Linked DNA regions of Callithrix jacchus. The protein of the gene in region 2 purifies or fractionates together with the protein of the main gene of each other region. This does not show direct contact. Links are inferred from orthologs where the notes say so. Each region holds a gene or a part of one and is shown on either strand. Other genes may lie near its edges.

Region 1 (3,653 bases), on a different chromosome or scaffold from region 2:
AAAAAAAGATAAGGTTGCCTCTTCCTTTCTAAATATTTTTACTGCCTTTTAAATCTAGCCTTATGATCATGCTCCAGGGTTATTGCAGTGGCACCTACCTGGTGCTCCCTGCTTTTAATCCCCACTCCTGCCTCTCACACAGTCCTGCACACTCCATCAGGACCAGTGGATCTGAATTTTTCTTACCCAACAACACCTGAGGAATATGACCACTTCCAATAGTAATTATGGTTCATTACATCAATGAACTTTCCCTGAATGAGGCTGGGGAATAGATTCATGTTTAGTATGAAAAAGGCAAAAGCTTCCCTTTGGTTCTGATTATTTGCCTACCTTCCTCACAAATACACACATAGCATGTACACACAGTATACATAGCTATGGAGAATCACTTCACTAGATTCATATTTCCATAACATTGCATTATGTTGCTCTCTTATTCAGAAACCTCCATTACTTCGTACTACCCATAGAATAATAGCCAACTTCTTAGCCTGCCAGCAGATCTCCTATTTGATCCAACTTAGCTTTCCTGGCTCTTTTAGCATTACTCTCCACTCAGCTGAATTCATTTACTCATTAGCCTCAAGATATGCCCTGTATTTTTCCCAAGTTTGTATTTGTTTTTCTTTCTGACTCTATAGTTCCTTTTTCTCTCTGCATTTTGAAATCCCTTTATTTTCCATGAGTGTTTTCTTGCTCATCTACTGGAAGTAAGCCCATCCTCAGAAGTTCTAAAGCATTTATTGTTTGAGTCACCCCCTTGGAACCTGTGGGATTTTTAATATTGTTATTAATTTATGTAAACATCATGACTTTCCAGGAAAATTGTCAACACCTTGAAAGGATGGACCATATCTTTGTTTCCCCATGGTGCTTAGTATCTATTGGTACAGCCAGGCATGGCGGCTCATGCCTGTAATCCCAGCACTTTGGGAGGCCAAGGCAGAAGTATTGCATGCACCCAGGAGTCTGAGACCAATCCTGGCAACATAGTGAGACCCGGTCTTTACAAAAAATAGAAAAATTAGCTGGTTGTGGTGGTGCGTGTCTGTAGTGTCAGCTACTTGGGGAGGCTGAGATGGGAGGATTGCTTGAGCCCAGGAATTTGAGGCTGCAGTGAACTGTGATCATGCTCCTGTATTGCAGCCTGGGCAACAGAGTGAGATCCTGTCTCCAAAATAAAATAAAATTTAAAAATATACATATCTACTGATAATGATCATGAGTAAATTATGTTTTTAGTCAAAGTCTGTACAGTTTTTAGTCAAAGTCTGATGGAGTGGGGAAAAAACAAATCAGAAATAGGAGATCTGCAATCTACTCTCACCTCTGCAAGCTGGCTCTCTGGCCTTTTGCTACTCTTTTACCTCTGAGGAGGTAATGGGATTCACATGGGCTTTGACATCTGAGATTGTAACAATAGAAATCTAAATACCTTTAAGTTGTTTTAGGAGTAATATATTATCTATGATAGTAGAAATTTTAGGCAAAAATTCTACTTAGCCTATATTTACCATCACTACCACCAATATCTTTGCACTGAAGTGAGAGACAAAATGTTAACTTTCTCTGATTCATTTAAGTCCTGAAAAAATAGATATTTTGCCATCTCATTTCACCTTCTTTCTTAGCTTAACTTTAACTTTTACTTCATTTATAGAGATACAAATAACTGCATTTAGTGTAAGGTAAATATCTCTTCCATGTGGTTTGCTGGGTATGAGTTCTGAAGGAAATGTTAAAATAGCACTTGGACTATAATCCCAGCACTTTGGGAGGCCAAGACAGGTGGATTATGAGGTTAGAGTTCAAGACCAGCCTGACCAACATGGTGAAACCCCATCTCTACTAAAAATACAAAAATTAGCCAGGGCTGGTGGCGTGTGCCTGTAATCCCAGCTACTCAGGAGGCTGAGGCAGGAGTATCACTTGAACCCGTGAGGAGGTTAAAGTGAGCCAAGATCATGCCACTGCACTCCAGTCTGGGCAACAGAGTGAGACTCCATCTCAAAAAAAAAAGTTCTTGGAAGCTTTAGAGTTTGAAGATTTCAGATCGGAGGTAGAAAGTGGCCCATAGACGAGCAGCATCAGCATCACCTATTTTAGAGCAGTGCTTTTCAAATTCTAGTATGCATGCATATTACCTGGAGATCTTGTTAACACGGAGATTTTGACTCAGGTCTGGGGAGTGGCCTGAGAGTCTACATTTCTGAGAAGCTCCCAGGTAATACTGGAGCTACTAATCTGTGCACCCCACTTTGAGTAAAAAGGATCTAGGAGATGTGTAGAGTGAGTAGTCTGAAAAGTCCCAGCATTGAGAGTTGCATTTATGCTGTATCAGAAAGCGGAAAAGTCGCATAATTAAGATGTTATCACAGAGGATAAAGGACGGGTTCATTTAACGTGGAATCCTCATTTGCTTTCAATGATGCAGATATTGTAATATCTTTTACTCTGTCCAAATGACCATTAATTATATGAAGAATGAAACTGGCAAGGGGCATGTTTCGCTATGTTATTTTTCAATTTAGCAGATGGAGTAGTAAAGCAGACAATGTGTTGTCAGTCACCTGCCATCCTCTGGGCAGGAGATAGCACCACAGCCTTTCCTACATCTCCCTACTGGTTCTGAAGTGCCATAAAGAGATGACTGCAGGAACTTGGGTAGATTTATACATTGATATCATAGAAATTATAGAATTGTTCCAGAAAATAACGTTTTGAAATATCTAAAATCTTGAATGGAGGAATTATAAGCCTTAAGGAATAAAATGCAACATATCTCAAAACTTGAGAGATGGAAACATTATTAGGACTGGTCAGTTGAAGTTTAGAGGAATCAGGAAGATTTGGGAAGGACAGATCAAATATTGTCTCTAGCTTCACCATGTTCCTATGGAAATAGTGCAATTCTGTTGTATTAGAGACTCATCTGCTATGGGGCAGATATGAGCATTATTGAGCTTCCTATTTTCATCACAAATTGCTGATCATACACATTCTTGGTCATCGGTGACTTGAAACTGATGCATTCATTGACCATATTCTTTAATATTAAAACAATAATTCAGTCAGTAGATTGTGAATAAATTAAGAAGTGATAGAAGTCAGAATTTTTATTTCTGGAGATGGAGTATTGATTGAGAGCCTTCTGGGGAAATGTTCTATAACTTGATCTGGGTAGTTGGTAATATAGTATATAAATTTGTAAAAACTCTTTGAGTTTTCACTTGATTTGCACCTTGTATATTATGCTTCAGTAAAATATAATATTTTAAAAAATTAGTTACTTGGCATGTTTTTCTTTTATCTAAACTTCTTTTCTTTTTAAAAAACATTTTAGCAAAATTAAACTATTTCCAGAAGCTCCAAAAGGTCAATGCAACCAACTTCCAGGGCCTGGCTGCAGAGTTTGGAGGCGAATCATTCACTTCAACATTCCAAACTCAGTCACCACCATCCTTTTACAGAGTGAGCCTGGGGAAGGGGATGGGATTGTTTGGTTTGGTTTTTACTCTAAAGCAGACAACTGACAAGGTATCTTTGCAGTACTACCCTGCAGCTGGCTAAACCATTGTCAGCTCTTTGGAGGGCAGTACTGTCCATGTAATCAAGCCCTTGAGTTAACCTTGTTTCTACTCTTTCTTTTC
Region 2 (3,653 bases):
TCTTTAAAATCTTTTTTTTTAACATTCTTGGAGTATATAAAATCTTTTTTTTTTTTTTTTTTTTGAGACGGAGTTTTGCTCTTGTTACCCTGGCTGGAGTGCAATGGCGCGATCTCGGCGCACCACAACCTCCCACCTCCTGGGTTCAGGCAATTCTCCTGCCTCAGCCTCCTGAGTAGCTGGGATTACAGGCACGCGCCACCATGCCCAGCTAATTTTTTGTATTTTTAGTAGAGACGGGGTTTCACCATGTTGACCAGGATGGTCTCGATCTCTTGACCTTGTGATCCACCCGCCTCGGCCTCCCAAAGTGCTGGGATTACAGGCTTGAGCCACTGCGCCCAGCCATAAAATCTCTTTTTAAGTTACTTATTTTTCTCTTTTGTAGCTTTTAGGGACTTAACTATTTATGTTCTCCGGATTAATAAAACATATAGTCATTCTTAAATTAATCAATATCTGCTTAAAACTTAGAGTGAACTTAACAATATAAAACTAAAAGGTTTTCTATAAGTTTCCATGGAAGTGACTATCATTTTTTTTGGTTTGAGACGTAGTCTTGCTCCATGACCTAGGGTAGAGTGCACTGGCATGGTCTGGACTCACTACAGCCCTGACCTCCCGCATTCAAATGATCCTCCCTACCTTAACCTCCCAAGTAGCTGAGACTACAGGCGTGCGCCACCATTCCTGGCTAATTTTTTTGAACAAATGGGGTTTTTCCATGTTGTCCAGGCTGGTCTCTAACTCCTGGGCTAAAGTGATTTGCCCACTTTGGCCTCCCAACATGCTAGGATTACAGCATGAGCCACCGCACCCAGCCAACATTTTTTTTGTACAGATGGGGGTTTCACTGTGTTGCACAGGCCTCGAAATCCTTCTGCCTTGGCCTCCCAGTGTGTTGAGATTACAGCGTGAGCCTCAGTGCCTGGCTGTAAGTAACTATCATTCTTTATTTCTTTTTTTTAAAAACCTATTTTAGGTTCGGGGGTACATGTGCAGGTTTGTTATGTAGGTGAACTTGTGTCATGGAGTTTTGTTGTGCAGATTATTTTGTCACTCAAGCCAAGTACCCAATATATTTTTTTTCTGATCCTCTCCCTCCTCCTACCTACTACCCTCAAGTAGGCTCCAGTATAAAAAACAATGGTTAGATAAATACATCATTTTATTTGTCATTGAAATTTTGAAAAACATTTAAGGCTCTAAGGTTTTATATGAAATCATTTATGTATGTATGAATGAATGAGTGACAGGATCTTGCTCTGTCGTCTAGGCTGGAGTGCAGTGGTGCAGTCACAGCTCACTGTAGCCTCCATCTCGTGGGCTCAAGCAATCCTCCCACCTCAGCCTCCCAAGTAGCTGGGACTACAGGTGCATGCCACCATGCCTGGCTAATTTTGTATTTATTTATTATTATTTTTTTAAGATGGAGTCTTTTCTGTTGCCTAAGCTGAAGTGCAATGGCGCAATCTCGGCTCACTGGAACCTCCGTTTCCTGGATTCAAGTGATTCTCCTGCCTCAGCCTCCTGAGTAGCTGGGATTACAGGCACACACCACCATGACTGGCTAATTTTTGATTTTTAGTAGTGACAAGGTTTCACCATGTTGGTCAGGCTGGTCTTGAACTCCTGACCTCAGGTGATCCACCCACCTTGGCCTTCCAAAGTGCTGGGATTATAGATGTGGGCCACTGCACCCAGCCTCTGCCTGGCTAATTTTTTACTTTTTGTAGAGACAGGGTCTCACTATGTTGTCCAGGTTGGTCTTGAACTCCTGAGTTCAAATGATCCTCCTACTACAGCCTTCCAAAGTGTTGGGATTACAGGTGTGAGCCACTGCTCCTGACCTGAAATCTTTTCTTTTCTTTTTTTTTTGAGATGGAGTTTTGTTCTTGTTACCCAGGCTAGAGTGCAGGGGCGTGAGCGATCTCAGCTCACTGCAACCTCTGCCTTCTGGTTTCAAGCGATTCTCCTGCCTCAGCTGAGAATCCCGAGTAGCTGAGATTACAGGCACCGTCCACCATGCTCTGGCTAATTTTTGTATTTTTAGTAGAGATGAGGTTTTACCATGTTGGCCAGGCTGGTTTTGAACTCCTGATCTCGTGATCTGCTTGCCTTGGCCTCCCAAAGTGCTGGGATTACAGGCTTGAGCCACCATGCCTGGCCCTGAAATCTTTGTTAAGTTCAACATTATGAGGAGTGATATTTGGGAGAAGAAAGCGTGGAAAGTGAAACAGTTTCTCTTTCCTGTTCATATGGATCCATTTTTATGGTACTAAACTCTGGTGGTGATGAGGGAGAGAATGTGAGGGTGAGTGAACAGAACAGGACAAGGGATTTTCTTTTTCTTTCTTTCTTTTTTTATTTTATTTTATTTTTTTATTATTATTTTTTTGACACAGAGTCTCACTCTGTCTCCCAGGCTGGAGTGCAGTGGCATGATCTCGGCTCACTGCAACCTCTGTCTCCCGGGTTCAAGTGATTCTCCTGCCTCAGCCTCCCAAGTAGCTGGAACCACAGGCATGTGCCACCATGCCTGGCTAATTTTTTGTATTTTCGGTACAGATGGGGTTTCACTCTGTTAGCCAGGATGGTCTCAGTCTCCTGATCTTGTGATCCGCCTTCCTCGGCCTCCCAAAGTGCTGGGACTACAGGTGTGAGCCACTGTATCTGGCCTCTTTGTTTTTATTAGATAATATTTGCTGTGACTCCACAACCAACGGCTTCCAGACCTTGATGGGCAAATCGTTGAATCAGTTGGCTGTTTTGCTAAAGCTGGTCAACTAGTCAGTGAACTTGCCATTGCTGAAACCAGACCAGCAATGGGAGCAGGCTGCAGAAAGAACAATGTTAAGGGACGCTGATCTATTTTGTATGATTAGGAGAGAGGCCGTAAATCTGTTGGCTTTGCCCTTCACCCTCAGGTGTCCCTGGCTGGGCAGTGTATGCAGGACGCTCCAGTGGCATTTCTTCACAATTTTGATGTTAAATGCGTTACTAATTTGGAAGCATACCAAGAACGAGATGGTATTATCAATGCGAAGATCAAGAATGTTGCCTTGGGAGGTATGTTTTATTTCTTTGAAAAAAAGAACACAGACCCAAGCATGAAGATAAACTATGATCTCATGAGAGTATAAATCATTTTTACTGGTTCAACTTCAAATAATATTGTAACTGCCAATTGTTTAGTTCCATAAGACAGCATGTTGCATATTAAATATTTTGAAATTGGAGTAAAATTCAAATGACATAAAATTAACCTTTTTGTTTGTTTGATTTGAGACGGAGTCTCGCTCCATCGTGCAGGTTGGAGTGCAGTGGCGCAATCTCGGCTCACTGCATCCTCTGCCTCCTGAGTTCAAGCGATTCTTCTGCCTCAGCCTCCCGAGTAGCTGGGACTACAGGTGCCTGCCACCATGCCTGGGTAATTTTTGTATTTTTATTATAGATGGGGTTTCACCATGTTGGCCAGGCTGGTCTTGAACTCCTGACCTCAGGTGATCCGCCCTCCTAGCCCTCCCAAAGTGCTGGGTTTACAGATGTGAGCCACTGTGCCCCACCAGAACGAACCATTTTAAAGTGTACCATTCGGTGACATTTAGGACCTTCCACAGTGTTATGCCACCATTACCTTTTTATAGTTCCAG
Region 3 (3,753 bases), on a different chromosome or scaffold from region 2:
TTAGGCATTCTCTATTGAGTTCCCACAAGGAAAGATGATTTAGCTTCTTCTCTCCCTCCACTCCTCCCCTGTCATACTCAATACCTTTCTCATTACCGCCAGTAGAGTTAAAATCTGTTTTTGGTCAGTCAACATTCAGTGCTCATATAATTAAGACTATGTAAATCCTATTCACAACTCTGGTGACTTTTCTGCTATCACTGTTCCTTACTTTTCAATTCTCTGCAGTTATGATTTGCTTAGTTTTCTATGTACTTATACAATTTCATCAAAGAGCTGCTATTCCAGTTCCTCACAATTTCACATTTAAAAGCATAAGATCTAGTCAAAACCTTGTTCACTGAAATATTGCCCCTAGGCTGGATATGGTGGCGCACACACGTAATCCCAGCACTTTGGGAGACTGAGGTGGGTGGATCGCCTGAGGTCAGTAGTTTGAAACCAGCCTGGCCAGCATGGTGAAACCCCTTCTCTACAAAAAATCCAAAAATTAGCTGGACATGGTGGTGCACACCTGTAATCCCAGCTACTCGGGAGGCTGAGGCACGAGAATTGCTTGAATCCAGGAGGCCGAGGTTGCAGTGAGTGGAGATTATGCCACTACACTCCAGCCTTGGCGACAGAGCAATATTCTGTCTCAAAAAAAAAAAAAAGAAAAGAAAAAAATATTGTCCCTAATAGTGGAAAAGTCAAAGTAAGCCAAATATCCAGCAACAGGGAACTGGTTAAATACAGTACTGCTGTTTCATGACGTGAAATGCTGTGGAGACCTCAAAAAGAATAAGGCTGATTGATAAGTATTGATATATATATATATATATGCCTTCAATTTCTATTATGTCTACCTGTAACTCTGTAATATTTTAGAATGAGCATGTGCTTTTGTAATCAGAACATAAGAACATTTATAAAGTAATGGGAGAAAACTAACCCGAATCATATTAGGTTGGTGCAAAAGTAACTGCGGGGTTTTTTGCCATTATTTTTAACTAAATAAATTTTTAAAAATTTTATTTAGTTGCTGGGAACAAGTCTGATTTTCTTTTTTCCTCAGCTATACATGTTTGGCTTGTAGGACAATCATCTTAGAGATATCTGAAGAGATTCAGCTTTGGAAGAAGGAAAACCAGAAGTTTCATACTTCTAAAGGAAAATGTTTTCGGAAAATCAGTGAAAAGGAGTCATCATAAAGGAAGCATTTCTTTATAATCTCTCAAAGCAAATACTAAATTACAGTTTCCTCTGAGCACTCTGCTGATGAAAAAAGTTTAAAATAAATAAATTACAGACAGTAAGATGCTTCAATTTCATCCCAGACAGCTGCCAGACGGCGCAGTCTCTAAGAGGACAAGCCCACGGGGCGTGACTCGGCCAGAGCTCGTTCTGGAAGGCCGCTTAACCAATAAGCTCCTTGGTTTCCAGGGCTCAGCATAAAAATGTCGCCCTTTCCGTTCCTACAGTGCTGTGATGCAAACGCCGCGACACCTTTGGGTTACCTACATTAACAGTGCGCGGCCTTCAAGGCTCCTAAAAGGACTTTCACAAACATCTTCCATCAGGCCAGGCCTGCAGGTGTGACGGGGGCAGAGGCAGGCTGCCCCCAGGCCTCTGGACACTGTGTCAGGGCGCACACGCTGACAGCGTGGCTCTCTGGGGGCCGAGGACGTCTGGGAGAAGCTGACTGAAACAGAAGATCGATTCCCTAGGCCCTAGGAGATGAAACGTCCCACCTCTGCGGGTTCGCGAGTCCTTAGGATCCAAGCTGGGCTCCCCAGGGCCGGGGCCGCTAGCTCCACATCCCCATTCCCTTCCCTGTTCCCACCCCATACCCCTCTCTGCCACAGGCCCAGGCGAGAACCACGCACCGAAACGAACGGGACGCGCAGGCGATCCCCCTGCAGCCGGTTGAAGGCGGGGAACGTGCTCCAGGCGAGGAACCCGCCGCTCTCAGGTCCCAGCAGGGCCACGAGCAGCACCTGGTGCTGGAAGCGCACGGCCGGCTGCTCCTCGTAGCTGCTCCGCTTCAGCCAAAACCCTGAGTTAAAGAGAGTGGTGGGGAGGCAGTCAGGGAGGGCGGCCCCGGCCGAGCGCGCCCGGGGAGCCGCGTGGCACAACGGCCGGGGCAGACTCACCGTGGCTCCGGAAGGCCACCAGCAGCGGCGGGATGTAAGTGAGCGCCGCGGCCAGCAGCAGGAACAGCGCGGCTTTGGAGCAGAGTCCCGCGCGGTAGCTGCGCTCTACCGGGTGAGAGAAGAGCTCGTAGAGCGCCATGAGCTGGCACGCCGCGAACAGGGTGACCAAGTTTGGCTTCTCCTGATTGCCATCGCCTCGGTCTCACGGCAACCGAAGCCGCCCGGAAAGGAGCCAATAGCAAGGACGCACGGAAAGGAACCCGTGACGGGGGCGGGGTTAGCGGGCGTGGCGGCCGCCGAGGGAACGGTCGGCCCCCTTTCGGCCCTGAGTGCTTTTGCGTAAAGGCTGGGCGGCGATAGAATGTTTCGTGGACCAGAGTCGTGGCTGTTGTCTGTGTTAACTTTTGTGTAAAATAAGATGCCCATAAAAGTTGACTTGAACACTGTGGAGGAAAAGATAAATATTAAATTTTAACTCAATTGAACATGAACAAAACGGTCACCAAGTCCCGTACAGGTTGTGTGAGCCCCTTGAGGTGTTCATCCAGCGAAGTTTCGGAGAAATCTCTATTTCAATCTATTTCTCTAGGTTAGTATTGAAAAACAACCGCAAAAACAAGATCTTTTAATGTTCGTTGAGACAAGTGGTGAAGGACCCTCGTGACTGGGTCTCATGCCAAACAACTTGTTACCAAAAGAGCTAGGGTCCCAGACCACGCCAGAGCTTCCTGAGACCTCTCCTTGTCTGCACCAACGTTGCTTCCCAGTCTGGAGGTGAATCCTCCATAGTCTGGTGAGTGTAATGTCTGACTCTGGAGCCCAGGCTGTTGCTTCCCAGTCTGGTGGTAAGTCCTCCCTAGTCTGGTGAGTGTAAATATATATATATATTTACATGTCTTTTTCCTTCCCCTCTTCCCATTGCAATTTGCTTATTATATCAATCTGCTTAGTATATTAATTTGCTTATTTTATCTGCATTGCCATTTATGTGGGATAAAGCTTGTTTACACTTAAAGGTATTGTGTGTGTGTGCCTTTTCTTCTCCCCTCGTGTGTGTCCTGCACAGAACAAACATCTGCTTTTATGTCATCTGTTAACCCCCAGTGTGGTTCCTACTGAAGTCCAGTAAGTTACAGTCCTGGACCTGGTCCTGGGCTAAGACCAAAGCCAGATACCTTTGCCCCCAAATTTTCTGTTGCTTCCACTATGCTCCAATGCAAGACAGACACGGAAACACAAATCCCTTGGCTCTTCGAGGGATAGAGTAGAATTACTACAAAGCTCTGATGCACTTCGTTAACCTTGTGTTGGGTACAAGCTCAGCCACGAGATTTACAGGAAGCTATGATCCTCCCAAAAGATCACTGGTTTATTATCCCCTCACTGTCCCCAACCAATATTTCAAACATGGTAGAAGGACTTTTTTTTTTTTTTTAATCTATGGTCCACAGTCAAGTTCTTCATCAAATGGCCCTGAATGGCTGGGCGTGGTGGCTAACACCTGTAATCCCAGCACTTTGGGAGGCCAAGGTGGGTGGGTCACCTGAGGTCTGGAGTTCAAGACCAGCCTGGCCAACATGGTGAAACCTCATCTCTACTAAAAATACAAAAATTAGCTGGG

What was found.
Region 1: the proteins of TCTN2 (region 2) and TCTN3 purify together in Homo sapiens (affinity purification with mass spectrometry; 3 studies listed by BioGRID and IntAct, with this or other methods). This does not show direct contact. The link is inferred for Callithrix jacchus from reciprocal best matches to the Homo sapiens genes TCTN2 and TCTN3.
Region 3: the proteins of TCTN2 (region 2) and TMEM231 purify together in Homo sapiens (affinity purification with mass spectrometry; 3 studies listed by BioGRID and IntAct, counting the BioPlex papers as one, with this or other methods). This does not show direct contact. The link is inferred for Callithrix jacchus from reciprocal best matches to the Homo sapiens genes TCTN2 and TMEM231.

The regions. Positions count from the first base shown.
Region 1 is NC_133513.1:88,551,874-88,555,526, reverse strand, and holds part of TCTN3 (tectonic-3), read left to right. Parts: intron 1-3,346; coding exon 3,347-3,474; intron 3,475-3,653.
Region 2 is NC_133510.1:126,866,638-126,870,290, forward strand, and holds part of TCTN2 (tectonic-2), read left to right. Parts: intron 1-2,927; coding exon 2,928-3,069; intron 3,070-3,653.
Region 3 is NC_133521.1:32,961,970-32,965,722, forward strand, and holds the start of TMEM231 (transmembrane protein 231), read right to left. Parts: upstream 2,296-3,753; 5' UTR 2,272-2,295; coding exon 2,133-2,271; intron 2,036-2,132; coding exon 1,866-2,035; intron 1-1,865. UniProt on the Homo sapiens protein: Transmembrane component of the tectonic-like complex, a complex localized at the transition zone of primary cilia and acting as a barrier that prevents diffusion of transmembrane proteins between the cilia and plasma membranes.